4 linked regions of the Drosophila melanogaster genome follow. Changing the gene in region 2 together with the main gene of any one other region gives a genetic interaction. Each region holds a gene or a part of one and is shown on either strand. Other genes may lie near its edges.

The links.
Region 1: of w (region 2) and mor, changing one enhances a phenotype caused by changing the other (phenotypic enhancement), as found in Drosophila melanogaster (3 studies listed by BioGRID).
Region 3: of w (region 2) and pasha, changing one suppresses a phenotype caused by changing the other (phenotypic suppression), as found in Drosophila melanogaster (2 studies listed by BioGRID).
Region 4: of w (region 2) and B52, changing one enhances a phenotype caused by changing the other (phenotypic enhancement), as found in Drosophila melanogaster (2 studies listed by BioGRID).

The regions. Positions count from the first base shown.
Region 1 is NT_033777.3:15,967,624-15,974,547, forward strand, and holds mor (moira), read right to left. Parts: upstream 5,291-6,924; 5' UTR 5,190-5,290; coding exon 5,073-5,189; intron 4,982-5,072; coding exon 4,856-4,981; intron 4,676-4,855; coding exon 3,751-4,675; intron 3,701-3,750; coding exon 3,370-3,700; intron 3,307-3,369; coding exon 2,532-3,306; intron 2,470-2,531; coding exon 2,259-2,469; intron 1,972-2,258; coding exon 952-1,971; intron 888-951; coding exon 763-887; 3' UTR 511-762; downstream 1-510. Other genes in the region: Rbf2 (Retinoblastoma-family protein 2), read left to right, coding at 1-334.
Region 2 is NC_004354.4:2,790,453-2,798,273, reverse strand, and holds w (white), read left to right. Parts: upstream 1-1,807; 5' UTR 1,808-1,965; coding exon 1,966-2,037; intron 2,038-5,145; coding exon 5,146-5,419; intron 5,420-5,493; coding exon 5,494-6,148; intron 6,149-6,209; coding exon 6,210-6,525; intron 6,526-6,728; coding exon 6,729-6,860; intron 6,861-6,930; coding exon 6,931-7,545; 3' UTR 7,546-7,675; downstream 7,676-7,821. UniProt on the Drosophila melanogaster protein: ATP-dependent transporter of the ATP-binding cassette (ABC) family which transports various molecules including bioamines, neurotransmitters, metabolic intermediates and second messengers.
Region 3 is NT_033777.3:31,616,657-31,622,717, reverse strand, and holds pasha (partner of drosha), read right to left. Parts: upstream 4,291-6,061; 5' UTR 4,181-4,290; coding exon 3,949-4,180; intron 3,730-3,948; exon of another isoform or gene 3,707-3,729; coding exon of another isoform or gene 3,661-3,706; intron 3,478-3,660; coding exon 3,274-3,477; intron 3,209-3,273; coding exon 2,259-3,208; intron 2,203-2,258; coding exon 1,948-2,202; intron 1,889-1,947; coding exon 1,601-1,888; 3' UTR 1,359-1,600; exon of another isoform or gene 1,244-1,358; intron 799-1,243; 3' UTR 501-798; downstream 1-500. Other genes in the region: CG1792 (uncharacterized protein), read right to left, coding at 5,007-5,196, 5,259-5,369, 5,446-6,061.
Region 4 is NT_033777.3:13,659,490-13,667,315, reverse strand, and holds B52 (B52), read right to left. Parts: upstream 6,006-7,826; 5' UTR 5,874-6,005; exon of another isoform or gene 5,615-5,873; 5' UTR 5,583-5,614; coding exon 5,457-5,582; intron 5,156-5,456; coding exon 5,085-5,155; intron 5,020-5,084; coding exon 4,912-5,019; intron 4,362-4,911; coding exon 4,265-4,361; coding exon of another isoform or gene 4,208-4,264; exon of another isoform or gene 3,862-4,207; coding exon of another isoform or gene 3,841-3,861; exon of another isoform or gene 1,864-3,840; coding exon 1,790-1,863; intron 1,727-1,789; coding exon 1,415-1,726; intron 1,233-1,414; coding exon 1,068-1,232; intron 961-1,067; coding exon of another isoform or gene 924-960; exon of another isoform or gene 898-923; coding exon 783-897; 3' UTR 425-782; downstream 1-424. Other genes in the region: Hrb87F (heterogeneous nuclear ribonucleoprotein at 87F), read left to right, coding at 6,929-6,976, 7,668-7,826. UniProt on the Drosophila melanogaster protein: Essential for development. May have a critical role in splicing or in controlling alternative splice site use of at least some pre-mRNA in vivo. Not required for all splicing. May play a general role in the condensation or decondensation of chromatin.

The sequences.
Region 1 (6,924 bases), on a different chromosome or scaffold from region 2:
TGTGTATGTCCAAAGTATGGGCAACTATGGCCGCCACCTGGAGTGTGCGCAAACACGCAAGTCACTGGAAGAATCACAGAGTAACGTTGGTATTCTGACGGAAACAACTTCCAACGAATTGAGCATGAGAGCCAACATCAGCATATCTTCACCGCCCCCTCCCAGGGTATGCCAAAGTGGCTCCTGCTCCAGTCATCCACCTTCATCTCCCGCCGCATCACCACTTTCCTTGCAAAGCTCGCCCAACGTAAAGCGTGCTGCTTCGAGTAACGACTTGATGAGAGAGATCAAGCGACCAAACATCCTGCGGCGTCGCCAGCTTTCAGTGATCTAATAACCAATCAAAAAAGGCTTAAATACTTGGCTGCATTTTACGCAGCTAGCTTAGTATATTTCTTAAACTCAAAAATGGTAATTAAATAATGTTTAAATTATAGATATTTTATTAACTTGTTCAAGTAAGTTAAAAGCTTTTGCTTTTGTAAAAATAAAGGAATAACTGCCACTCGTAGTTTAAATAAATTTTTATTGAATGCCTATTTTTCGGCTTTGAAACTTGGTTCAAAATATTTGTGCAATTGCTTGTAAACGCGACCGGACACGAAATGAAACTTACACAAAACTGGAGACGCGTCAATGTGTAGTGCATCTCCTTCAGATTACACACAAGAGTTGGGCTTAAAGTGGAGTATACATAATACATACTGAGAGCGTACGACTTAGAGCTATTTACTTTAACGTTTCCTGGCTTATGAGTAAGAGTTAAGAAGAGGGAGCTACGCCGGCGATGGGAGCAGTGTTCGCCGGAGGAATTCCCCCTGGTGGCATTGCCGATCCCGGCGGTGCGTTGGCATCTGACACTGGACCGCTGCTTGGTGGTGTAGTATCTATGGCGGGAGTTGGATGTCTAAGTATTATAGTTTATGAATTGTTATCCGTTAAAGTTCTTACCCATGGGTGTAGGTGCTTGAGATTGCGCTGCTCCCGCTGCGACTGGTCCGGTTTGGTCGCTCGGATTCGTGACAATGGCCGTGGGTGCGCCCGGCGGGAGTCCTCCCGTGAGCGAAATCGGTGGCGCTGCAAAGGGAGCACCGTTGGGCGACGACACTACGTGCGGGGGCAACGGCTGGTGCTGGGCGGTGGGACCCGCTAGCGGTTGGGACTGCGGCGGCAACTGGTGCGGATGCGGAGGCAGCTGTTGCTGCTGCGCCAGGTGCGGATGAGGTGGCAGCGTTTGCTGTTGCTGCTGCGGCTGCTGGGCCTGTGGTAGCTGCTGTTGCTGCGGCAAGATCATTGATCCCGCGGCCGCCTGGCCTTGGAGCTCTTGCTGAAGACGATGATGTGCTTGTTGGCGCGCTCGGAACTCGGCTGCCTTTAGCTGCTCCAGGTGGAATTGCTGACGCTCTGTGATCAGCTGCTGACGCTGGTACTCCAATCCCTCGCGCTCTCGCTCCATGGTGGCCTCCAGTTCCTCAAAGTGGCGCAATTTGATCTCCAGCTTCTTCATCTGAGTCTCAACAAGGAGAGCCACCAGGGATTTGATCTTACGCTCCTCCAGGGCAGCCAGGTGTTTGGCTTTAACTGCTGCCGATGCCAAAGCTGCCGCCGCCGCAGTCTGCATGTTATTTTCGCTAAATGTTCCTTCCTTTGGCACCGCCAATGGCCCTGTTCCGGTTCCCGTTCCCTCTTTGGCCTCAGTGCCGTCCTTAGTTTCGCCATCGCCACTGCTGTCCTCCGTCTTGATGTCCACTTCGCCACCACTTGCGGCTGCTGCGGTTTCTGTGGGTGAGGATTTGTTTGATTTGTCTGACTTGATGGCTGACTTATCGCCCGAAGGCGAGGAGCCGGACGACTCCTTTGGTTTCTTGTCAGTGTTGTTGGTGTTGCCTGTCGCTGATGATGATGTGGAACTCGAGTCTGTGTTTGTGTTGGTCTTATCCGATTTTGTATTGTCTTTGGACTTGGCATCGTCTGTGGTTGTTGTTTGTTATTTGATGGTTGTGGTGTTGATGTAAGTTTGGTAGATTGGGCGCAACACAAAAACGAAACAATATACGAATACAGTGCCAAATGGTGAACAAATTGCGAATTTTGAATGAAAGCAACACAAGAGTTCAACAAGACAAACAAATGCAGAACCAACAATTGAGTAAATTCCCTTTAAAATCGATTAAAAGAAAACTCGCTCGACTTAGCGACTTTTCCCTTAACCAACATCCATAAACCCCCTTTACCGATCTCTAATGGCTTTGGCTTACCGTCTTTTTTGCTTAGGTCCTTCATTTCCTCATCAGAGCCGCCAGCGGATGCAGATGCGCCACCCTCCTTGCCCTCTTCATCGTCCTTGTCGTTTCCGGTTCCTGCGATTCCACTATTGGCCAGCCCAAAGTTCGGATTAAATTTACCACCTGCCGAAGCCTTCTCCACGTTTTTCAGGTGGTTGTCCATTATTGTAGCGGGCACCTCATCCTAGCATAAGTTTTACATTGGATGTTAAAATCATGGTTTAAACGTGACTAAAATGTAACTACCTTAATGGCTGCAAATTCCTCCATGGCAGCCTTTGCTGCTGCAGCGGCAACGCGAGGATCGACCACAGATGCCAGGAATGCGACGGTGGACATAATGGGATTGCCACTCTTGCTGAACGGAATGGGTTGGCAGGCCAAGGGGCCCAGGAAGCCACCATCATCCTCTAGATACGGGTCCTCGATGGGAAGTCGAAGGAAATGCAGAATGCACTCGTCTTGAGTGCGAGATCCAACGTGCTCGCAGACCTTGTTCCAGTCGTCCTTGTGCATTTCCAAGCCCTCAAGCAACAGCAGAGTCTCCTGATCGGTCCATTCACGAGCCATGCTTGCCGCCGTTCGATTCCTCATGGCCGCCGGCTTCTTTGCGTACTGATCCAGCTTGAGTCCAAACTGGCTCACTCCGGAACTTAATCCTCCGGCAGCGCCATTCTCTAGAGCCTCTGTCTTGATGCCAGTCAGACCACTTTTATCGCCCAACTCCAGGCCGCCATCTTTACCCAATGGCTTTTTGTCCAGATCCAACAGCGTCTTTGCCGCCGACGGCTGTTGCGTCTTTTGCGGATTTATGGACTGTAGACCTGATGGCGTATCCGAAAGAATGTGAAAGTGTGAGGTTGGTGGTGGACCCATAGGGGTGGGGCGGACATCCGCATCGATCTGGTAGTTAATCAGGCCCCATTGCTCCAAGAAGGCGTGTACTCGCATTATGGCGCACACATCTCCGGCAAGATTACGCCTACAAGCTGTGCTGGTCAAATACTCCGTCGGATTGAGCCTGAAATAGATGAGTAACATATTCAAAACTATTTGCTGCAAAAAAAATGGAGCTTCAACTTACCTGTACGTATCAATCATAAAATTCCTGTAGGCCATATAGATTTCTGGTGTCTTTGACTTATTCTTGCTGTTAAAGAATTCCGGCATGGCCCGTTTCTCGATCACATGAATGGAGTTGTAATCAAACCAAGCCGAGTACGAAGGCACGATAATGTGGTGCGTCTGCTCGGTCACATTGTCCTCCATATCCTCTTTGGCCGATGAAGAGAATTCCTGCGTGTTGCTGTTATCACTTGTCTTGCCTGTCTGCGAGTTTTCCCCATCTCCGGTAGACATGGCTTGAGCGGCGCTTCCTCCAGTCATTTCGTCATCCAGATCGGTCATAGTGCCACCTAGATATCAGTTTGTTTAGTCAATGCAGATATAAGATAACAAAACTTACCTTTAATGGGCATCATGTCGTTGTCGCCACGAGATTTACCGCCCGGAGCTGGACTGGCGGTGGACTGCAAGGCGGCATTTGCCTTATGAACCTCCTGAACATTGGGCTCGGCCGGCGGATCATCCAGATCGCGAGTTAAGTCCTCGTCATCATCGTCGTTGCGCGACTTTTTGTGCACCACGGCGGGAGAACGCTTACGCTTGCCCGGCTTTGAGGTGGATGCCGAACTGGCGGGAGATGGTGAACGGCGTCTCTTCTGCTTGCCTCCGCCCGAGCTGGCAGCAGGCTTCTTCTTCTCGTCGCCGAATGACATGATGTCGTCTATGGACATACGCTGTTTGTGCGTCTTCTTCTTGCCCTGTTCGTCAACCTCGTAGTCCTCCTCGGCCATCCACTCATTGTACTGCTCCAGGTCCACGATCCAGGATGCAGACACACGCCAACGTTCCGCCGGTGACTCGGGATTCTCCGGAATGTGATCGGGCAGGTCAAAGTTATTCACAGCCCAAGAATCGTAGGACTCGGGGAAGTAGTACCAATGCAGCATCACATGTCCGCCGCGCTTGAAAATGGGCCGCGCATACTCGTCGGGATGTGGGTCCACCACAGGATAGACGATATGGGTGGCGTCCTCCTCGTCCGACACAATCTCTACCCGTCGATTGTCCAGGATCTCGCGCAGTTTTCCCTCGAAGCCCTTTTCAATCTCCGGCCGAATATAGATGTACGGTATGCGATACAAGTCCGCCTCGACCAACGCCTGCTCAATCTCGATCAGCAGCTGGATGTTGGGATCCTTGCGCGTGGGATTCTTGCCAATGGAGAAGTCGAACTTCTTGCCGCGTTGCTCGGCCCGGAAACGGAACATGGTCGAGAAAATGATGCACAGACCACCGCCGCTCTTGAAGTCCAGAAAGCAACGCATCTGGTGTGGGTGGTACGATTATTAGAGATATGTTTTAATGTACGTAAATCATGTAGCTAAATACAAAATATAAGCTAGTGGTCCAAACATTTGGCCATTGGAGGATTAATATTTACGTGTACACACGCAACACGGGGCACCCTGTCCCCCTCACCAACCACAGGCACTATCAATACTAACCGGAATTCTGGTTGCCGGCGGATCCGCTGAGTTCTTGCCCAGCTTGGCTTCCACATACTGCAGGAAGTGAATGAGCAATTGGGCCAAGGACTCCTTCGTGATGGGCTCCGAACTGTGGGCCAAATACTGCAATAAATACGGTTGTGAGTAAATCGTTTTTTTTTCGCCGCCTGACAGCGCCATTTTTGTTTGCGGCGGCGTTGTTGTTGGCACGCACCTTCTTGCAGTTCTTCTGCAGCCACTGGCGAATCGATTCAAAGCCCTGCAGCGTCTCCGGCGACTGGAAAAAGTCTATATTCGGACTTCCGTCCTTCTTAGGACCCAGTGTGTTCATGTTGCGGCACTTTTGTGGACTTTTTGTCAATTATCTTTTCACTTTTCCACGCCAAAAAGCCAATAAACGCTGCGTTGATAAAATAGAGATGGTATTTAAATCGATGTTGTTGTGACAGTCGTTATCGATATTTCAGCTATCTCCACTGAAAGTTATCATTATTTTAATCTTAGGTTAGGTTAATATATAAACCTATTGGTTGGTGGAAGCCATATATTAAATAACAAGAAAACATATTGGCTGTTAAGAGAATTATATAGACTTCGAAAAAGTTATAGCTAGCTAACGTGTCAGTTAGCTTTACATCTCAGTGGGAACAAGCTATTATGTGAAAATTGCTGTTAAATTCAATAATGCCATCTGGTCACAGTGGCGGTGGTGCTGTATTGGCGTCCCGCTCGCGCCGCCTAAAAACCGATGCACCACGATAGTCAGGCCGCACATATAAATGCGACTCCATCGCGCTAACATGGCTGCTGGGAACCGAAAACTTAAAAATATTGTGCTGTCAGAGTGTGTTTGCATCAGCGTGAAGCCCAGTGTTAAGTTAAAACATTGACTGCCTACGCCCACCAACGACAATTGCCGTAAATCGAATTCTGCCGTTATTCGCAACGCCGGATTCCCATCCGTGTGTCCGTCGCGAGTGTGCCAGTGTGCGTGAAAATAAAAAGTCAATGGTGCGTGAGTGCGAGTGAGTAGGAAGAAAGCAAAAGCGATTGGATTGATTTGTGACGCTGCTGGCGAAAAGCAGTACCCAGTACCCCTTTCCTTGGGCCAAAACACACACATACGTACGGCTATAGTAACTCAGCATCGATTGTACAGTTTGAGAGCAAACAATTCAATTAGAAAATGCAGAGCGCATGAGTTGAATTGTGAGTGGGCGCCCCACATAAGCTGACTGCTACCGCACAACGAAGGGAACTAGAAAGAGGAGTGCGTAGTGCGGAGAGAAGAGCAAATGCGAAGCGAAGAGGAAGAGAGCGAGAGAGAGCAACCATTGCCAAAGGTAAGTGATATAACACTCGGAGATCGGGAGTGGGAATGCGAATAGGAACATAAGGAACCCCTAAATTCTTATCCTAGATTGCAACATTATTTATATGGCAGCAACTTATCGCTTCCGCTTGCTTGTGTGCGTGCGATAGAGATAGATAGAGTGGGGCCAAGGGGCTCTGTTTATTGATAAGAGAGGAGAGCGAGCGAGAGAGAGGGAGAGAGAGAGGAGGTGGGCGCCAACGCAGCAAAACAGCGGAAATCCTTTACAAAAACTTGGTCTACCACTAGCTCTTTGTCTTCGCCTTCTAGTCTCTCTCATCTTGGCAGCCCGTTCTAGTGCGCGTATTTTTAGTCGCAACACATTGCCCAATTCGCCAGCCGCTATTTGTGTCGTCCATTTGTTCATTCATCGGGCTCTTTTTCCGATTTCAGTGGGTGGCATTTAACAATAATCCCTGCGTTCGCTGTCCACGTCCACATTACGATACGTTTAGTGCACGGAAAGAAATAAGCATGTGGTTTCATAATATTAGCTATTGAAAAAAGTTCTTAAATTTAAGCCTCACTCGATTCTGATGCATGAAATATTATTGGATTGTAAATGAGCGTCATGTTTTGGTATACAAATCTCAAAGTAATTTAAAAATTCTCATCTTACCGTACCTTGAACCACTACCAATCATCTCAGTACAGCATTTCAGCGAATTTCTCACTGTGCACTACAATGCCAGGC
Region 2 (7,821 bases):
CTTACCTTTGCCGATATATATATATATATATATATATATACATATGTATGTAGGTGTGACTGTGCGGAGAGAGTATAAAAGTGTGTGTTGAAAAAAACTTTCTACGCCTCAGTTCAAGTTACTTCCTTTTCGCTTTTCAATACGGTGTTATTGCATTGCATTGTGGAATAGCAAACCAATTTAAAGAATCCCAAAGGTAGGGCAAAAAAAAATGTTCAATTGCAGGGCTAATAAGCAAAAATCAAGTTAAGGCCACTCTAAAAAAAATGAACTGCATACTTATACGTATGCAATTAACTTTATTATTGATTTAGAGCGCATAAAAACGGCAAACTAATTAATTACAGCATTCCCTTAGAGCATTTCATAATCGGTTTTAAGCACTTTTTGTTGTAATGCCATTTTTCAGCTCTTTCGCTGCTGCGACAGGCGAGTGACAATAAATTGTTAAGTGCAAAAAGTTTACAGCATTTGAGTGAGTTAGTAATGGCAAACACACACGAACACGAACTTCAAGACGGTCTAAACCCGATTCGAGCTCCACTCAACCAACATCGAAGAAGCCCCATAAGTGTCACTGAGCGAAAAACTCGGTTAGTTGGCAAAAATGAGTGAAACATTGACGTTTCTTTGTTGTCTGTCGCTAGATCGGCCCACAAAGGAAGTCTCTTACGAATCGTACATACATCTAACTTTGAGTCAGCTAAAGATCTTCAGTGAAATAGGAAAATCATTTATTTCGAACTTTGAAGCTGTTGTAGAGCAGAACATATATGCATTAAAACTGGCACATGAAATAATGTTACTAGTGCTGAGTGAGACTTCTACAAATATCACATGCATATGCATAATTAACTTGCAAATCGAATCAAAAGCTATTATTCTGAGCTAAACTCTCAAAAGAAAACCATATTCATTTGAAGACCACTTAATCGTCGTCAGCAAATTAATTCCTGCAGATTCCTCGGCAACTGCAACTGCTAACCTGTTACCACATCGTCCGTGAAAATGGTATTGATAGCCTCCCGGAAAACCCGTCCCAGTCGAGATCCATATCCTGGACCAACTGGCCCCGATGATGAAGATTGATAATGCCCGGACAGCTGATGGCGGCAGTTCATGATTCCGGGGCCTGAGATGAGGTGCTAACGATGACGACAACGACCGGAGTGTCCGAAGTACGGGTGCGGATAGGCGTACGGGAAACGGGGAGTGCGGAATGCGCATCATCAACAGTCGCCGTTTGATAAATCATGCATGCAAAGTACAGTGCAAACCCCCGAAACGGGACGACAACAGGCGGATTAACAAGAACTCTCTTATTCACGATAAGAAGACGCTTCCCACTCAACCTAATCAGTATTCAAAGACAGCCACTCAGCTTATGAGTACTGCCCAGGTGGGGTACTATCATATTGGTGCAAAGGTGGTCGAATTTTTAATTATTTTGAACGGAACACATTAGCTAAACATAAACATGTTGTCACTAGTATGTATGTAAGTTAATAAAACCCATTTTTGCGGAAAGTAGATAAAAAAAACATTTTTTTTTTTTACTGCACTGGATATCATTGAACTTATCTGATCAGTTTTAAATTTACTTCGATCCAAGGGTATTTGATGTACCAGGTTCTTTCGATTACCTCTCACTCAAAATGACATTCCACTCAAAGTCAGCGCTGTTTGCCTCCTTCTCTGTCCACAGAAATATCGCCGTCTCTTTCGCCGCTGCGTCCGCTATCTCTTTCGCCACCGTTTGTAGCGTTACGTAGCGTCAATGTCCGCCTTCAGTTGCATTTTGTCAGCGGTTTCGTGACGAAGCTCCAAGCGGTTTACGCCATCAATTAAACACAAAGTGCTGTGCCAAAACTCCTCTCGCTTCTTATTTTTGTTTGTTTTTTGAGTGATTGGGGTGGTGATTGGTTTTGGGTGGGTAAGCAGGGGAAAGTGTGAAAAATCCCGGCAATGGGCCAAGAGGATCAGGAGCTATTAATTCGCGGAGGCAGCAAACACCCATCTGCCGAGCATCTGAACAATGTGAGTAGTACATGTGCATACATCTTAAGTTCACTTGATCTATAGGAACTGCGATTGCAACATCAAATTGTCTGCGGCGTGAGAACTGCGACCCACAAAAATCCCAAACCGCAATTGCACAAACAAATAGTGACACGAAACAGATTATTCTGGTAGCTGTTCTCGCTATATAAGACAATTTTTGAGATCATATCATGATCAAGACATCTAAAGGCATTCATTTTCGACTATATTCTTTTTTACAAAAAATATAACAACCAGATATTTTAAGCTTACCATGAAGTCCTCATTTCTTCCACCTTTCATTCTCAAATATTTTCTTGCTACACTACACTACACTACACTACATTATACATCGACCCCAAATAGTTGGATGTAGTAGATCGTAATTAGGGACGCATAACCAGTGGTGGCGTGGGAGGAGTCGGCTTAAGTTGGCCAACAACATTGCTGGGTGTCTATAACTCTAGGCTTGCCAAGATACTAGATACTGTATCCGTATCCATTTCTGGTTGTGTACTCGCATCTTCTACCTGATCTTAATACCTCGTTGTTTGCACGTCTCGCTCGACGAAAAATGTACAATCTAGTCTTATCTGGGTCATTATTTGGCTAGACGAATGCTTTGGGCTCAGCATCTGATATCTAGGTATCTTCGTGCGTATCTTGCTTTAAATTCTTAGCACCTCGGCTTGTATAACAAAATAAATAAGTGAGTACGATTTGCATATCTAGCCCCGGGCTCTTTGAAACAATTTTGAAAAGTCTCAAAAAGTTATACAAGGAGATAAGAACTTTAATTCTTTTGGGAAGTAAGTAACGCAGTAAAGGTAACAAAGTATTGAAAAATATGATATGTATGGAATATTTGAAGCCATCTTTAATTATATGTTCGTTGCATATATGTACATATTGGGCCGTTTACGCTCTGATATTTCCTTAATAATATCGAGTGGTCGTCAGCTTTTCCGCTGAATAATTGCGCCTCCTTCAGTATTTCGTTCTCATCAAAGTGAATGACTTTTGAGTGCACTCATTAGCCACTCGCACAATCGACAAAACGGGAGGAACAACAAATTGAGTCGCTTCTTTATTCAGTCATTTCAATTTGTCAAGTTCATCACGATACTCCTTCGCCTCCCTGCACAGCGCCATCTAGCGCCCACTCCTCGAGTTTCCTTCGTATTTCGTAAGTAATTCAAAAATAGCACGCAAAGTAAATAAAAAAAAAAGTAAGCCAAAAAATTAAATAAATATGAAATGTAGCATCTTTCGCTACTTATTTCAACAAAATACGAAAATAGGGAAAAGGTGGGAGAGTAAACCAGAGGAGGCAGGGAGATAAGAAAACCCAGTGGGAAAGGGACGGCGAAAACAGAAAAGAAAAGAAAACTTTTTAATAACATTTTTCGGCCTCATTTGTTGTGAAAACAATTTCGCCATGTCCCTCTATCTCTTTCCCAGCCATATGGCCATCTCGCTCTGCTCGAGGAGTGCCTGAAAACGGATATTACATTTTTTCGCGTCTACCTCTCGTAACGTCACCAATTGTGCTTTTTTTTTGGTAACAGGCCAAAAACTGGACACTGAGTGGCTAGAAGAATAAGCTGTCAAAGCATCGCAGCAGAAGATGAGCAGTGAAGCCTCGCTAAGGAGGAAATGCAACAGTTTTCAGGCTTTGGTCTTTTAGCTAGATTTTATATGTAGCAATGTAAACGATAAATCCAAATCCCCCAATCGTTTTGAAAAATAAATTTAATTTTAAATAGTTCAAAAAATGAAAGTTCTTAGCAGGGCTCACTGTAGCAAGGACCGCCAGGCGCTGAGTGCAAGGTGGACATTATTTTTTCTTGCTTTTATTGAATGTCAGCTTTTTATTTGGCCCTCTTCTTCGGATTTTGCCTTTCTCATTTGCTTGCATTTTTTTGCTTAATTTTTTTTATGATTATTTATACAAATTATTATGAGAGCAGCGGCGGATAAAATGCTTTCCATATTGTGGCCATCATTTTGTCTTGTTTTTTCCATTTTTTTTTTTTTTTGCCTCGACGCCAATTAGTGGATCCCTGTTATTTATGCTTTGCCGCAGGCCGCTGCGATGGCAAGAAACCCCACAAATGGAAAACGGAAAATTGTTTATGAAAATGAAAATATGCGCGAACGGAAGTGGTATGGGGCGAAAAGTTGGGGCGGGGAGGATGGCTTGATTTGACCATACCGCAAACGTCTTCGGTTACCGCCATTTCGAAAAGGGAAGCCCCACCTGGGCGAAAACTGACAGCTCAGTGGTTTTGGAAATCACTTTACCCGTAAACAAAATAACGTAAATAAGAATTTGTATTTCGGATTTATAAACTTAAACTCAATTGCAGAAGTAGTAGTTTGAACACTATTGCGTTCAACATAATTGGATCAAGTAAATGGACTGCTTTATACTGCTCATTGCACTTATCTACAAGAGATTGAGTTTTCCCACCACCCAAAAAAAGCCAAAGTATCCTTAAAGTTTTATATTTAATAAAAACAAAACTGGCGAAGCTCAAAGTCCCCAAACGAAAGCCAAAGATGCCAGCGATTTACACTCGCAATTGTCTTATGAGGTGGCAACATGGTGGAGGAACCTTGCCACTGCCACCACCCATCGTCCCATCGCCCCATCGTCCATCGCCCAACGACCTGTGACCCCGTCAACCGTCCACCGCCCACTTTCAAGGCCATCCACCAAGTGCCAGCCCTAATTTGCACATTTTAAATAGGCCTCGCCATCTCCTTTTTGGGAAACTTGGAAAACTCGGATCTTGGGCATTTTTATTAAACAGATGGGCTCCTTCTTTATAAAGCCGAGGGGGGGGGGGGGGGTTAGTGCCCGGAAACAGGGACGGCGGAGCAGGGATTGGCCAGGCTGGGCTAGATTTATGCACAGACGCCTTCATTTTTATGGACGAACGCCGTGAAATTGAAAAGTTTTCAGCTTGAAACCTTTTCTAGATGCACAAAAAATAAATAAAAGTATAAACCTACTTCGTAGGATACTTCGGGGTACTTTTTGTTCGGGGTTAGATGAGCATAACGCTTGTAGTTGATATTTGAGATCCCCTATCATTGCAGGGTGACAGCGGAGCGGCTTCGCAGAGCTGCATTAACCAGGGCTTCGGGCAGGCCAAAAACTACGGCACGCTCCGGCCACCCAGTCCGCCGGAGGACTCCGGTTCAGGGAGCGGCCAACTAGCCGAGAACCTCACCTATGCCTGGCACAATATGGACATCTTTGGGGCGGTCAATCAGCCGGGCTCCGGATGGCGGCAGCTGGTCAACCGGACACGCGGACTATTCTGCAACGAGCGACACATACCGGCGCCCAGGAAACATTTGCTCAAGAACGGTGAGTTTCTATTCGCAGTCGGCTGATCTGTGTGAAATCTTAATAAAGGGTCCAATTACCAATTTGAAACTCAGTTTGCGGCGTGGCCTATCCGGGCGAACTTTTGGCCGTGATGGGCAGTTCCGGTGCCGGAAAGACGACCCTGCTGAATGCCCTTGCCTTTCGATCGCCGCAGGGCATCCAAGTATCGCCATCCGGGATGCGACTGCTCAATGGCCAACCTGTGGACGCCAAGGAGATGCAGGCCAGGTGCGCCTATGTCCAGCAGGATGACCTCTTTATCGGCTCCCTAACGGCCAGGGAACACCTGATTTTCCAAGCCATGGTGCGGATGCCACGACATCTGACCTATCGGCAGCGAGTGGCCCGCGTGGATCAGGTGATCCAGGAGCTTTCGCTCAGCAAATGTCAGCACACGATCATCGGTGTGCCCGGCAGGGTGAAAGGTCTGTCCGGCGGAGAAAGGAAGCGTCTGGCATTCGCCTCCGAGGCTCTAACCGATCCGCCGCTTCTGATCTGCGATGAGCCCACCTCCGGACTGGACTCCTTTACCGCCCACAGCGTCGTCCAGGTGCTGAAGAAGCTGTCGCAGAAGGGCAAGACCGTCATCCTGACCATTCATCAGCCGTCTTCCGAGCTGTTTGAGCTCTTTGACAAGATCCTTCTGATGGCCGAGGGCAGGGTAGCTTTCTTGGGCACTCCCAGCGAAGCCGTCGACTTCTTTTCCTAGTGAGTTCGATGTGTTTATTAAGGGTATCTAGTATTACATAACATCTCAACTCCTATCCAGCGTGGGTGCCCAGTGTCCTACCAACTACAATCCGGCGGACTTTTACGTACAGGTGTTGGCCGTTGTGCCCGGACGGGAGATCGAGTCCCGTGATCGGATCGCCAAGATATGCGACAATTTTGCCATTAGCAAAGTAGCCCGGGATATGGAGCAGTTGTTGGCCACCAAAAATCTGGAGAAGCCACTGGAGCAGCCGGAGAATGGGTACACCTACAAGGCCACCTGGTTCATGCAGTTCCGGGCGGTCCTGTGGCGATCCTGGCTGTCGGTGCTCAAGGAACCACTCCTCGTAAAAGTGCGACTTATTCAGACAACGGTGAGTGGTTCCAGTGGAAACAAATGATATAACGCTTACAATTCTTGGAAACAAATTCGCTAGATTTTAGATAGAATTGCCTGATTCCACACCCTTCTTAGTTTTTTTCAATGAGATGTATAGTTTATAGTTTTGCAGAAGATAAATAAATTTCATTTAACTCGCGAATATTAATGAGATGCGAGTAACATTTTAATTTGCAGATGGTTGCCATCTTGATTGGCCTCATCTTTTTGGGCCAACAACTCACGCAAGTGGGTGTGATGAATATCAACGGAGCCATCTTCCTCTTCCTGACCAACATGACCTTTCAAAACGTCTTTGCCACGATAAATGTAAGTCATGTTTAGAATACATTTGCATTTCAATAATTTACTAACTTTCTAATGAATCGATTCGATTTAGGTGTTCACCTCAGAGCTGCCAGTTTTTATGAGGGAGGCCCGAAGTCGACTTTATCGCTGTGACACATACTTTCTGGGCAAAACGATTGCCGAATTGCCGCTTTTTCTCACAGTGCCACTGGTCTTCACGGCGATTGCCTATCCGATGATCGGACTGCGGGCCGGAGTGCTGCACTTCTTCAACTGCCTGGCGCTGGTCACTCTGGTGGCCAATGTGTCAACGTCCTTCGGATATCTAATATCCTGCGCCAGCTCCTCGACCTCGATGGCGCTGTCTGTGGGTCCGCCGGTTATCATACCATTCCTGCTCTTTGGCGGCTTCTTCTTGAACTCGGGCTCGGTGCCAGTATACCTCAAATGGTTGTCGTACCTCTCATGGTTCCGTTACGCCAACGAGGGTCTGCTGATTAACCAATGGGCGGACGTGGAGCCGGGCGAAATTAGCTGCACATCGTCGAACACCACGTGCCCCAGTTCGGGCAAGGTCATCCTGGAGACGCTTAACTTCTCCGCCGCCGATCTGCCGCTGGACTACGTGGGTCTGGCCATTCTCATCGTGAGCTTCCGGGTGCTCGCATATCTGGCTCTAAGACTTCGGGCCCGACGCAAGGAGTAGCCGACATATATCCGAAATAACTGCTTGTTTTTTTTTTTACCATTATTACCATCGTGTTTACTGTTTATTGCCCCCTCAAAAAGCTAATGTAATTATATTTGTGCCAATAAAAACAAGATATGACCTATAGAATACAAGTATTTCCCCTTCGAACATCCCCACAAGTAGACTTTGGATTTGTCTTCTAACCAAAAGACTTACACACCTGCATACCTTACATCAAAAACTCGTTTATCGCTACATAAAACACCGGGATATATTTTTTATATACAAACT
Region 3 (6,061 bases), on a different chromosome or scaffold from region 2:
CCGATTCACTGGCTCTGACGGAAATTCCAATGGAATTTGGCATAATTTACATATCTCCGAGTGCTTGGGCCAAGCGGGCCAAATGCATTGGACACGGTGTACAGGAGTGCGTGTGTGTACCCGATTTTCCGTTTATTTTCCGAGTGCTCCGTCTTTCACCGAATATCCGCACTTTTTTCCCAGGCCCGATTTCTGGGCCGCTGGGCGAAAAATCAAAAACGGCGCGCGTGTCGTACCGCTTGCTACATCCACTGATTTGACGCGCGACCCACGCACTTGCAACACGCGACACACGAGCACCGGGAATCGAACGTCGAGAGTCGAGAATCGAGGAACTGGGGGGCTATGAAGTTGGTTTTTTTGGGGGCACCGAGGGATGAGGGGGCAACTAAGATGAATGTCAATAAAAATGATTCTGCTCTGCACTGCAGTTGGCCTTTTTTCAGCTGTACCACCGAATTCACCTCTTGGCTTTCTGTTTTTCTCCCCGTTTTTTTTTTCGGTCTGTCCCGAGTTACTGTGATTCAATTACAAATCCCAGACGAAAGTCCTGAGGATAGGAGCGCCGGGAAGTGGTTTTCTCGCCACGCGAAGAATCCGTACTGAAGATACAGATATGGCCTGCGAATTGGCAAGTCAGAACTCGCCACAATTCATCTCGCAGCATGGCTGCTGCGCAAAATCCGGGATCTGCGCCTGCGCCGCTCTCCCGCGCTCTCTCTCTCGGACTTTCTCTCTGCGACTGTCTCTCCGCATTCTCCGTGGTGGGTATGTGTGTGTGCCACGCTCGTTGGAATGCTATAAAAAAGGAAACGTTAGAATGAAATGAAAATGTAGCATAATTTATGACTGCATCGTCTTTTAAATAATTGCACGCACACACACCTACGAACCTACACCCTGCCCACCGCCTTAAATATTAACATCCACTCACCTAACGACCGACCGCCTAAAAACACCCGAGAATCCTAATGGCCATGTAAATATGCATTTTTTTATATTCCATACGACTTTTTAAAATGTCTTCCAAATTGGTTACGGGTCAATGGTGTTTGAACGTTCCAAGAATGAAAGCGATACGAGAAGATTTACGAGGAAATTTGATAAACAAATCATGAGCAAATAATTGTCCTGCTGTCTGCCCAAATGAATAGTTGTCAAATACTTAAGAACTCTACTTTTTTAATTGGTATTGCAGATAAAGATCTTAGACGAACATCTCTATACTCAAATATAAAGGACTGCGTTTTTAATAGTATTTTATTCAAGCTTATATTATACAAGTGAAATTGAACCCCTAATCTTAGCTATTGCAAGCATGAACTACTTATATTTGGCAAATTTAGTGATGAATTTACCTTAATGTAAAACCACTTGATAGGCAATTGTTCTTCATTTTTGGCCACTTGCTAAAGCCACTTCAGATTAACCAGCTCAGATAGATGAAGCCGATTTGAAATCAGTTCGTATGCCTCTAGAGAACGCGTCGTTGTTGTCATTAGCTTTTCGAATATGGAAATGGGTGGGTAACTAAGAGACTAGGAGGTTGTCATGCACTACTAGAGAATCAATGTTGGCGAGAGAGATGTGTGTTTCCCAATCAAAGTTCCACGTTGTTCAAATTGGACCCGGAGGAAGTGGGCAGATCGACGTCGCTTGGCGGCACAAAAGTGCCCATGGTTAGGACGCTCTCCTGCTTGGCACACAGTTTCAACATCTCGGATTTAAGTTTGTCCAGTATGGCGTAGTTGGGTTGGTTGACTGCCGCCTTGCTCTGCAGCACGGTGATCTCCTGCTCCTCCAGCTTCTTCTCCTTGAAGGTCTTTATGGAGTTGTTGCCGTAGAGGCGCAACAAGGAACCCCAGGTCTGGATGTGCGGATGCAAAATCTGACGAAAGGTTAACTCAATAGCTATAAGTAAAGTTATAAAGAAATATCAATGCTCACCTGGAGGATTGCTTGCGAAGCCAACTGCTTGCCCTCCCGCTTGTTTTTACACACCACTTTGGCAGTATGTTTGCCCACGGTCATGGTAAACTCGTTCTTGTTATTCGCGGTGCGGTTGATCTCCTGGCTGATCTGAACATCGCTGCCGTAGTTGCGCTGCAAGCAAGTCAGCAGAATGGCGTTGGGAGATGGCTCCGTCGTCTTGTTGCAGAATTCGGTGACTCGGGGATCTTCGATGCGGATGTCATCGAAAACCTGCAAGAAATATAAAAATAAGAAGTGGTTCCATTTTCTATAGGTAGATTGCTTACAGACAGATCGCTCTGCGCTTTCTTCGCAGTGCCGCTCTTTTGGTCCTTATTGTTGCCCGTTATCTTGTCCTTGACATCGGGAATGAGTATTTCCAGCGTTTCCCGAGCCGCCTCTGACTTGGCCTGCTTTTTACTGGTGCCATAGCCCGTGCCATACTTGAGATTGTTCACCGATACGGTGGCGGAGTAAGGCGTGGCTGCGTTTTGGAGCTCCTTGAACTCATAGGTGGGCTGCGTTTTCAGAGCATGCTGCACGTACTCGTGCAGGATGCAGACGAAGCTCTTGCCATTGGGATTCATGATCCACTCCTTCCGACCGCGCGGGTTCGTTGATCCTTCGCCAGCATTCGCTAGTATTGGGAACTTAATAAGCTTAGTGCCATCCGGCAGCGTGGGTCGTTGAATATTCTTGATGTGTTTGCGGTTTTTGGTGAACTTGCGGCGAGCATTCCAACTCCGAAATCGCAGCACACGAATCACCTTGAATTTGAAGAGTTTCTGGCAGTAGGTGTTTAGTTGCTCCGGTGTAATGGATTCCTTTTGGGTATTCTCGTTGACCGTAACAATTTTAGCAGCCGGCATAAGGGCAGTTATTCCATCTGGTTGGGTTTTGGAATCGGTGCTGCCTTCGTTGTTCTCTTTTCCCTCCACGTCCATGGCTTCGGCCGGTAAAGCGGAAGCTCCGGCCATGGGACATACAGCCACTGGCGGCGCTCCATCCGTCTTTTGTTGCTCCACCTCCGACTCTTCCTCCAAAGCCCGCCTGTAGTTAAGACAGGGGATTGCTCCCAAGGGCACTGCATGCTTGCGGGCACTTCCAGTGCCGAGAAAATAGGGCCTCGATGCGCAACAGACGCGAGTTTTGCGATGCAAGAAGAGCGGCATTCCACTGTTGTGGGTCACCTGCACCCATCCCTCGGGTAGGACTTCAAAGTGGTTGAGGCGCTTTTCTAAAAGAGTAGTCACATTAAAATACTCGTCATCTTGGACACTTGGTTCGACGAAAAGCACTGACCTTCCAGCACAGTCTTGAAACGCTGCTCGTATTTGGGCTGCTTTGACTCGCGGAGCTCTTCGGGCAGCTTCTCGTCCAGCAGATTCTCGATCTCGTCATCATCGAATTCCGAGGAATCGTATTCTTCGCCGTCACCATCAGCCGCCTCTTCCTCCTCGTCGCCTCCTTCTCCATACCTTCCGCCCTGCTGCTCGCTAGCGTTGTCTGGTTGCCATGTAAGGAGATACAATCACGGATAAATAAGTTGTCTGTTTGTCTGGGAAATGGAAAACCAGCCGCGAAGTTGATGGCCATCTTCACGGAATATTTGAATGAATGCCATTGGCACCTAATTGTCTAGCTCTTTGATGTTTAATTAAAGTGATCCTTCATTATTACTGGCTCTACCTGACGCAACTGGACAAGCCAGTCGGATAATGGGTATCATGCGCATGGAACTGTCCGCACAAAACTGCCACCACCTGCCTTACAATAAGATAAAGGAAAACTGAAGCTGCTATATCAGGGTTTAACCTGCCGGCTGACTCTTTTATCAGCCTCCTGTATTTGCACAATGATAGGCCCCCAAGATCTTGAGATAAGAACTGCGCCTGCACTGTGAAACAAAAGGTGGTAATTGCACAGCCTGTGATCTGGATGACCTGAGTGAATATCCGAGCTTCGTTTCCGACTCACCTGACTCATCATCCTCATCGCTGCCAGAGCCGACTTCGTCGAGAACCTGGAACTGTCGCAGTTGCTGGTCCATGGGTTCGTTCTGCAGCTCGTTGTCCCTGGTCCGCCGCATTTCCTCGATGGCGCTCAGCGAAAAGCCGGCCACCTTGAGCTCCTGCTCCTCGTCCTCCAGCCGGGGACGCTTGCGGACCTGCCCAGAGTCCGGGCAGTCGGCCAGCGGCTTCTCCGCCATTGTATTGGATGTGTGTGTCTAAAGCGGGAGGGGTTTAGTGCGGACTGATCGGAACTGTCTAGTAATGCTGTCCCGGGGCCAATCTCGCCAATAACCAATACTGAGAGCATCCAACGCCTTGCAATTGATTTCTCATTGGAAGTGCCACATTGGTTAAGCCAGAAGCCCCGCCGGAAAATTCTGCGACTGCACTTTCGCGGATTGTAAACGATGCTACTTGCTGCGTCTTTCGCTATGGATTCTGCCTAATTGTCGGACAAAATCCCAAAGCAAAAGCTGCGCAATTCAAGTACGAAATCGAGATTTTAGAGAGAGGATGTTAGTTGGGAAAAATAACCAAACAAGCGAAACAAACACCACATGCAGTTTTGCGGAAACAGATTGACACTTTTGAATTGGGGTTAGTGATGGTTCCAGGTATTATCCTCCGGAGAAGAACGTTTGGTCTTAGGATCTATTGTAACAGCAGCTCCAAGCACTTTTCTACTGATTTTGCAAGAAATTTTGCAATTTAAAGACGCCCCCTAATTTATTTAGTGCAAGACAGTGTGACCAGGCTCATGACATTTTAAAATGCTGGCTACTCCCCAAGCCGGTAAACAATGTTCGAATTTAGATTTTATTATATTTTAAAACATAAAAATAATGTAACTAAAAATTAGTGCGCAGCCTAAGTAAGGTAATCTCTATTGGCCATTTTGAAAAAATCAGTTTTTATTCAACACAGCCATATTTGAACATATTCCATTTTCGATTAATATTAAGTGCATTGAGTATTAATCCGAATATCAGATCGGGGATCCATTGATTTTTAGTACAGTTTATCCTAAGATCCACTTTTTCCTAGTAAAGCCTCATCCTTAGCCCCTGTCTGCATGCCGTTACTGGCCTTCACGTCCAGTTCCACAGGATTGTCCAGTGCCGCCTGGGCGCTTGAAGTGTGGGCGTGACCTTTTGAGCGATAGTGGGAGGTCAGGTGGGAGCGGCGAACGAAGGAGACTTGGCAGGAGTCGCAGCTGAAAAACAGATAAACAGAGTCAAGGATCCTCAATAAAACTTCAGGTAACTAAGATCTTACTGGAACGCTCGCACTCCGGTGTGACTCAGCATGTGCGTGCGGAGTTTTCCGCTCATGGCAAAGCTTTTATTGCATTCCTTGCACGTGAAGGGCTTGACATTCGTGTGGCGCCTGATGAAATGGAAAGTGGTCAGAAATATGTGAAAAGCATTAGACGTTTCATGAATGGGAACGAGTTCTGTCGTACATGCGTTCGTGCTGGATGCGTCCGCTGGCGTTGCTGTAGGTTGCCTCGCAGTAGCGACACTGAAACAAAGCATTCCCCGCATGCAGTTCTTGGTGGCGCCGCAGAAGCGTAGCAGTGTAGAACTGCTGGGAGCACTGGTCACAGGCAAAGCTCTTTACGCCGGTGTGTCGGAGGAGGTGCAACTTGAAGTTGCTGGGGCAGGTGAAGTGCCGGCCACACTGCTCGCATATGCAATCCCGCTTGCGTCGCTCCCGCTTTAGGGCCACCACTTCGTCCTCGGTGAGTCTGCTCCACTGGGTGCGCGTGGCCTGGCTATTGTCCGCAAACTTAACGGAGGTAAAGACTGTGGGCGTGGTCTTTGTACTTCTGCGGAGCTTCTTCTCCTGCGCAGGAACCTTCACTTGGGGCTGCTCGTTCTGCTCACATATTTCGTACGGCTCTTCCGTCTCTTCCAGCAGGTGTTCCTCGGGTAGAAGGTCTATAACCTCGATCTCGGTGACCTCTTCAGCGTACTGAATCTCCTTCTCCACACCAACTGCGAAGGATTCGATCAATTCCGCGTTCCCCAGGTTGGGACTTTCCTGCAGCGTTTTTTGGGTTCGAATCACACGTTCCC
Region 4 (7,826 bases), on a different chromosome or scaffold from region 2:
TATCCCTATGTGCTTTGTATATAATAGTGTACTTAATTCGTACAAGTAATTACTTTAAAAGCAAAACACAAACGATATATATTGTTAGAACCAAAACTTTGTCAGTTTATAAAACTTAGTTATGCATTTGATTTTAGATTGCTAATTCATTTTCAAATTTTAAATATTTAACTAGGATATATTTCAGCCAATGAGGTGTCAAAATTATCATTGGCGTTCTTCAAATTCAAGATAAATAAAATCAAATGAAATTGTAATTTTAATTCAGGCAAATAATGCGAAATAGTGAAACTAAGACTTTGTAATATACTTATATTCCGAAATTACGACAACAAAAAAGAAAAACAATAAACTAACTTTATATGATTAAAATCGTCGAAGTACTTTATATCCTTTTTGAAGTGAAACCAGCGAGCAAACATTTATAGTTTAAATTTATCCGTATTTATTGAAATTACTCATTGTATAGACAATTTTAAGTGTTCCGGTGTACAAGTCGCAGTAATTTCGTGGCCTATATGTACTCCTTGAATCCAAATCGGCACATTCAGCCGATCCCTGTCATCTTCCAGCCAATGTCCCATGTCCACAACAAGACTTAGGACAAATTGTCGTTATATATTTAAAAGAAAATGACGAGGCCCGACAGTGGTGGATTGGTATGATTTCATATTCATTAAGTTTTGGTTGTAGTCGGGGTGTCTGAGTGTTGATGTTTGTAGAATAGTTATAGTAGAAGTCTAAAATCAAGTGTTTTAATATTAATGGGACAGCTAACTAATCTAATCGTCCATGCTCTCGTTATTGCGGTCCGGTGAGGCGTTTCCATTTTTGGGCGAGGCCGAACGGGAGCGTGAGCGCGAACGCGACTTGTTTTCAGCCGATGCGGATCGATCGCTGCAAAAGAAAGGCATTGTAGTGAACTATAGAACGAGCTTTTGAACGACCACCGTTGGCGGGCTACAAACAGGTGCATCCAAACAAAACCAAAGAAAGCACGAAAGAAAGAATCGTGAACGGTCTATAATAATATGGAGCCATGGTCATCGCACTGTGGCCAAACTTACCGTGAACGGGAGTCGCGGTGGATGGACTTGGAACGTGAGCGGGAACGGGACTCGCGCTTCGAGACGGACCGCGATCGGGAACGGGAGTCACGCTCACGTTTGGGCGAACGGGAGCGGGTGCGGGAGTGGGACTTTGACTTGGACTTGGACACGTCACGCGATTTGCTGCAGCGGAAGTAGTGAAGTAATTAATTAGTGGGCAATCATATGAAGTAAAAAGCCAGGGAGGATCGTAATTAATATTTTCTATCGTGTAAAATCTATATAATATTAATATTAAAGCATATATCACAAAGAATTTGTGATTAAGTACGATCCCTACCAGACTTTATTCTCTCTCTACTTACTTGGATCGCGAGCGGGAGCGAGAACGAGACTTGACTGGCGACTTGGACTTGGAGCGTCCGCCACGAGATTTGGAGCGGCTGCGAGACTTGGAGCGCGAGTGCGACGAGCGGCGAGAGCGAGAACGCCTGCGGGATCGGGAGCGCGATCGGGAGCTGGACGAACGGGAGCGTCCACGTCCGCTGCCGCCGCCACCACCGCTGCGTCCTCCGCGACGATCCTCGACCAAGTGGATCCGCCTGCCGTTTAGCTCGGTGTCATCCAACTTCTCAATGGCCGTCTTCATGTCCGACAACGAGGCGAACTCAACCACGCTGCAAAGGAACACAATTGTAGTTGGTTGTATGTAAAATAATTTCAACCATTTTCAAACATACCCCTCATTGCGACGCTGCTTGTGGGCATCGGCATAGGTGACCTCGCCAGCCTGGCGCATGTAATCCTTGAGATCCTGCAGGGACGCACAAAGTCGGAACGAAAAGATAGTAATTAGTAAGTTTCAGCTTTGGCAGATGTCTCGCACATTTCGACATCGCACATCCGACGGCAGTGGTTGCAACTCAAAGGACAGCCCGTGCAGCAGATGGAGCATTTTGAATGTTTTCGGTATTATTTGGGGCTCCTAACCAAGTCCCAGCCTCTCACAAGTCCCTCTCTCTCTCTCACTCAGTGCCCTGTGTTCGTCTATCCTGTGCTCTTGTCGCGCCTGCCTACGTGTGGAAACCGAGAACCTCACTCCGGACGAAGGATTTCGCTTGGCCAGGAAAAAAGAAGGAGGAGGTGCCCAGAACGTACCGAACACAACATTCAAACACTCCACGCTGCACGCGGCACAAAACTTAAGCGTAAACAATCATAGTTAACAGTGGTTGGCAATTGATAGTAGATATATATATATATATATAGATTGAGTTGATTTGGTTTGGAAATAAATTAAAGTTAACAAAATAGTTGTAATTGAATTCTTACTTAATGCGCTTTCAGAGAGAGGAGGACACACACATCGTTTCTACACCGAGAGTTTAGATTGTCTGCCTAGTAACTGTGGGCCAATGACACCAAGGACACCTCATGACCTCATCGAAAGTCCGATCGAACATCGTTAACTCAACCAGTCAGCCAGAAGAGAACCAGTGGCCAGGCAGGCGGATGAGCGGATGGATGGCCAGAGCTCGTTACGTTTTGTTTGTTTGGATTTGGTATTCGTTTTCATTTGGCCACGTACGTACCACCAAGTACACAGTTTTGTTATGTTTTTCATGTACAACAGAATCATATTATAAATGGCAAAAAGGTATTCAAGTGTTGCGGTAGCTGTTTTCGTTTCGTTTCGGAGGAAGCCACACACCGGATACAGTCAGGAGGAGGTCAGATCAGATCAGAGCAGACATCGCTGGCCAGAACCACCGCACCAGAGAGCCAGAGAATGGAGCATTTGGAGCAGTTTGCCGGTCAGAGGCGGACAACAACCAGCGGCATCGGCACCTCACGCACAAACGAACTGCAAAAATAAGAAATACGTTTCGGGACGCTGCTCTCGCTTCTCCAACGGGTTGGGTTGGTGGTTGTCTAGTCGGTAGTCTCAGCCGGAGACGGGGCAGGTAGCCGTATGCCGTTTGCCGGAGCCGCAGCCATAAGCCAGAGCCGCAGCCGGAAGCCAGAAGAACCGGGAATGGGGGGAAGGAATAAGTTCGGAGGCACTAGCCGAAGTTGGTAACTGAACGCGCGACCAGCATCGCAGCATCGTGTCATCGTCATCGATCGATCATCGTCATATGCTCATCCCTCATCGTCGCCAAGACCATCACATCATCTTAGAATTAGCGAACGCAAGCTTCTCATCTAACCACACTCGATTGATTCGATTCGCACCCTCATCACACTCACAATGGCTATAAGGAATTTGACAATTCTTTATATAATATTGTTGGTAATTAAAATTGTGAATGTTTTTAGCAGAGAGTTAAATACCTAACGCAAGAGGCCAGCCCACGTCTTTTCAATCAGTGTGGGCTTTAATACGTGGGCTGGCCTTTTGACCCGGGCAGCTCATCAACGTCCATCGTCATCGTCTGCTTTCTGATTTCGATTTTGCATTCAGTTTTGGGTTCGATTCTGATCGACTTGTTCATTTCGTTATGTGTTCTATATTATGTTTTATTTGGAATAGACGACGAATGGATGAGGCGGCGGCGATGGCGCTTCGTGGAGGTCGGTCGTAGGTTGCAGATCGTAGTTCGCATATCGAAACCAATCTGGGGCGGCTCTGGGTACTGTCTCACTCTGTCTTCCACCGCATCTTGGTTTTTGGGTAACATTCTGAACCGGTCGGTCGGTCACTAGACTAGCTTGTCTTTCTCACAGCGATTCAATTAGATTTGATTCTCTTTCAGTTTTAGATTCGGCCCCAAGCCGAGGAGGGAATCTCTCAGTCAAAGCACATCAAACTCTTTTTATTATCGGTTTCGGTTGGTGTGTGCAAGAGAAAGTAATGGTGGGTAGATTACACCGATCAGTACCAGGGTTTTAGCAATATCTTTTGTTTTCGTGTTTCACTTAAGTCTAGGTCAACTGTACAGCTTAGGGCTAGATTACAGATTATAGAATTGGCTCTAGTCAGAGTGGAGGAGGAGTTAAAACACAAAACAGGACGAAGACACCGGAAAGTAATTCGAAATCAAAAAGGGGCTCGAAAAGGTTGGTTCTGGGATGGGTAAGTTGATTAATGGGTGTTTGTAATAGTGATCCATTTCAGTCGGTTAGCCGTTTTAATTCTAGTACTACACTCCTCGAATCTAAGCTACAGTATATACCACGCCCAAGGCGCGATACATCGATCCATGCTCACTTACCTGCCAGCTAACGCGGCTAGACAAATTCTCCACAATCAGTCGGTACTCAGTGCGCAACGGTGGGCCATAACGAGAGGATGATCTGGAATTTTTGTTTCTGGTGAATAATTGAATGGATTCGCTAATTAGTATTGACACTGCGCTGCTGCTCCTGATGCTCCATCACAAAAATTAACGGTAATGGTGAATATATTCCAGCATATGCATATTTACATTTGGGTTATGCGCAACAAATCAAACATTTTACATACTATGCGGATGGGTGGAACGTGCAAATAAAAGCAACAATAGTATGCATAGGAAAACGGAGCGTCTTGGAAATGATAATATTAACAGCAAGTCAGTGTCTTTTGGTTCCCTTCCACGCAGAAGAAATCAGCTTATACGATTGCACTACCAAAAGTGTATAAAACTATAGAAGTCAATATATAATAAACTGATGTTTTTTATATATATCGCAAGTAGCTAATATTATAGGTATATAGATTTTGCACGATCTAAGCTGGTTGCATCTGTGTGGATGGAGATATCAAACGAAACAAATTGGCAGTGCTAATTCTAGGGCAAACTTCAACGCAAACAAAGTTGGAGGACGATATCGTCGCTACTTTGGTCCGGTTTTAAGGTCCGCTGGCAGTACTACTTACTTTTCGTTGTAACGACCGCCCCCGCCCCCCCGCCGACCACCATATCGATCGTCGTAGCGGTCGCGGTTGCTGCCACGAGCGGTACCCCTGGCGGGTTCAACAACCACACTGCAAAAATATAGAACATACAATCGTGAGTCATTTCGTACTTTGGCTTATATCTAACAACTCACCGTTCGCCAAGCAGCTCTTTGCCATTCAGTTCATAGACGGCATCGTCGGCATCACGATAGTCTTCGAATTCCTGAAAATTCAATTAGTGATTAGTATTGATTATGGAATTAGTATTGAAGCTACCCTGCCTGTGCATACTCTTATGGAAATACGCTGGGTGAATTTAAGAACAGTTTTTAAGCGTCACTGTATTTGACAGACAAATGATGGAACAAATATAGGTTCAAAAAGAAAAAAAAAGTATTCAAGGGTCGGCTTGAAATGTTAGGAAACCTATAGACAAACAGAGAAATGCAGAAATGTCTTCAAATCAAATTTAACCGATTTTTTTTTTTTACATATTCCAGTTAAATATGATATTTTGTACTCACCACAAAGCCGTAGCCATTTTTGATGAGGATGTCGCGTGTGCGGCCGTAGCCTTTGAAAAAGCGCTCCAAATCGCGCTCGCGCACTCCGTAGGGCAGACCGCCCACATACACTCGAGATCCCACCATGATAACGGTTCCTTACGTATCTGGAGCAGGTGCTATAAAATAGTGAAGTATATATATATATATCAGCAAGGGAACCGTTGCAGTTTGCAGCTTCTATTTTGCTCGACTGTCCTTTAGGAATGGAAGAAAAAAAAAACGCACATATGTACGCGCCGTGTATGTTTCGCCAAGATGGCGGCCACCACATACACACACACACGCTCGCAATGTACCGGGTGTACAGAACCGCTGCAAAAACGAGTTAATTTAACAACGCGAAATACGCGCTGTTCTTCACTTAAGCGTACTCACTAGCACGTACCGTTCAGTGAAGGATATTTGTGGCAAATTTACAATTAAGTCGCTGCCGTACTCTCTCTTTTTCAGGCTTTCCCACACGAAAAAACGCAAGCGACTCGACACAAACGGAAGTGAAAGTGACAGACGAAAGCGATGTTTGACAGTCATTCCAAAGGCGGAATGGAACGATACTTTTTCGCCTATCGATATTTTGGGCGGGCAATGCGTTTCGCTGCGTTAAGGGTATTCCAGTTGCTGTTCGTGTTCCGCTATGAAAAGAATAAACATTAAATATACTTAGTAGTAGCATTTGAATATACTGTTAACAACCTTTTTATTTTGATATCTGCTAGCAAGCACTCATTAGCATTTTTTAACGTTTCTGATTTGATGATATACATAAAATGTTTCTGGATTTATTAATTTATTTCGCACGATGTCTTTTTTTATTCCCAAATGCCTCATAGATCCCGTAATTGTAATATTGATTGACCCTTAGCTGGCTACTTACAAATATACAATTCAATACAAAATAATTTACAAGTTATCTCTTAAAGTGAAGCCTTCCATCGCCCCAGCTAAAGCGAATGCTCGCAGAAAGAGTTATGTAAGCGGTATTAATAATAATACATATTTAGCTAAAAAGTTAAACATATTAAATGTTTCTTGGGTTATCGTGGTAGTAATTATCATAATCCATTTATAAAGATAATACATTCAAATCCGTTTGTTCAGAAATATATACAATAAACTTGTCTAATATTTTTAAGCCCTTACTAGACGAATACAAATTTATATGAAGATATATAAAATCAAGTGTGGCATCAGCTTAATTGTCGAGGAACACCCCTAACGCACCGAAACAATCGTTCCGATTCCACGTGGCGTCCGATTTTCCGACTTTACCCCGTTCTCGACACCTGGTCATACTGCTCACTCCATTCTCATTGTGCGTGCTGTACATTTCATTTATTGCCAGTCTGCCGTCAAAAAAGAACAAAAACAAAAAAAATATTTCCTGCGTTCGGTGTTTAAACTTTCCATCTTCTTGAACAACCAAGGAGAGAATGGCGGAACAAAACGATTCCAACGGAAACTACGACGATGGTGAAGAGGTGAGTTGCAGAATGACCAATTGCTGTTTGTAAATCGTTCATCGCGCGTGAAAGTGCAAAATGTCGACGCCGACAATATTCGTGTATAATATACATTCACGCCGCTTTTTTACCGAATTATGGGGGCCATCGATCCCTGTGCGAATTTAGCCAGCTAAAAGTTTATCGACCTCTTTTGGCGAGAAATATAAGCAATTTCCGATAAAAAAGTTGCCGGCTGTTTGATAAAAAAGAAAACGAAAATTCATACATACATACACATATACGGGCTGTCATGGCGGTGCAAATACTAAAAAAAAAAAAAAAAAATATGGCGAGCGGCTTTTTCTCGCCAGGTAAATTACTATTATAAACAATGGCAAATCCTTGTTGATCAAGGATGATTTTGCACTTTTATCGTTTTATTGACATAAACTTATTGACTTATTGACAGCAACTTATTTTTTTATTAAATTTACAGCAACTTATTATACATTTAAATATTTTTTATACATTTATTCATTTAGATACAGTATGATTTTTTTTTTTATTATATAAATTTATACATTTTTCGCAAAGTTTGTCCAAAGAAATCAATTAATTTAATTTAATATTACAACTTATTTTCGAATCAATGGGTTTTTTTTTTGTTTTTAGAAATTATTTAAATTATAGAACGTCTTTAGCTAATGCATTTGAAATTCACCCGCAGATCACCGAGCCAGAGCAGCTGCGCAAACTGTTCATCGGCGGACTGGACTACCGCACCACAGATGATGGCCTGAAGGCTCACTTCGAGAAGTGGGGCAACATTGTCGACGTGGTGGTGATGAAGGATCCCAAGACGAAGCGCTCTCGCGGCTTCGGTTTC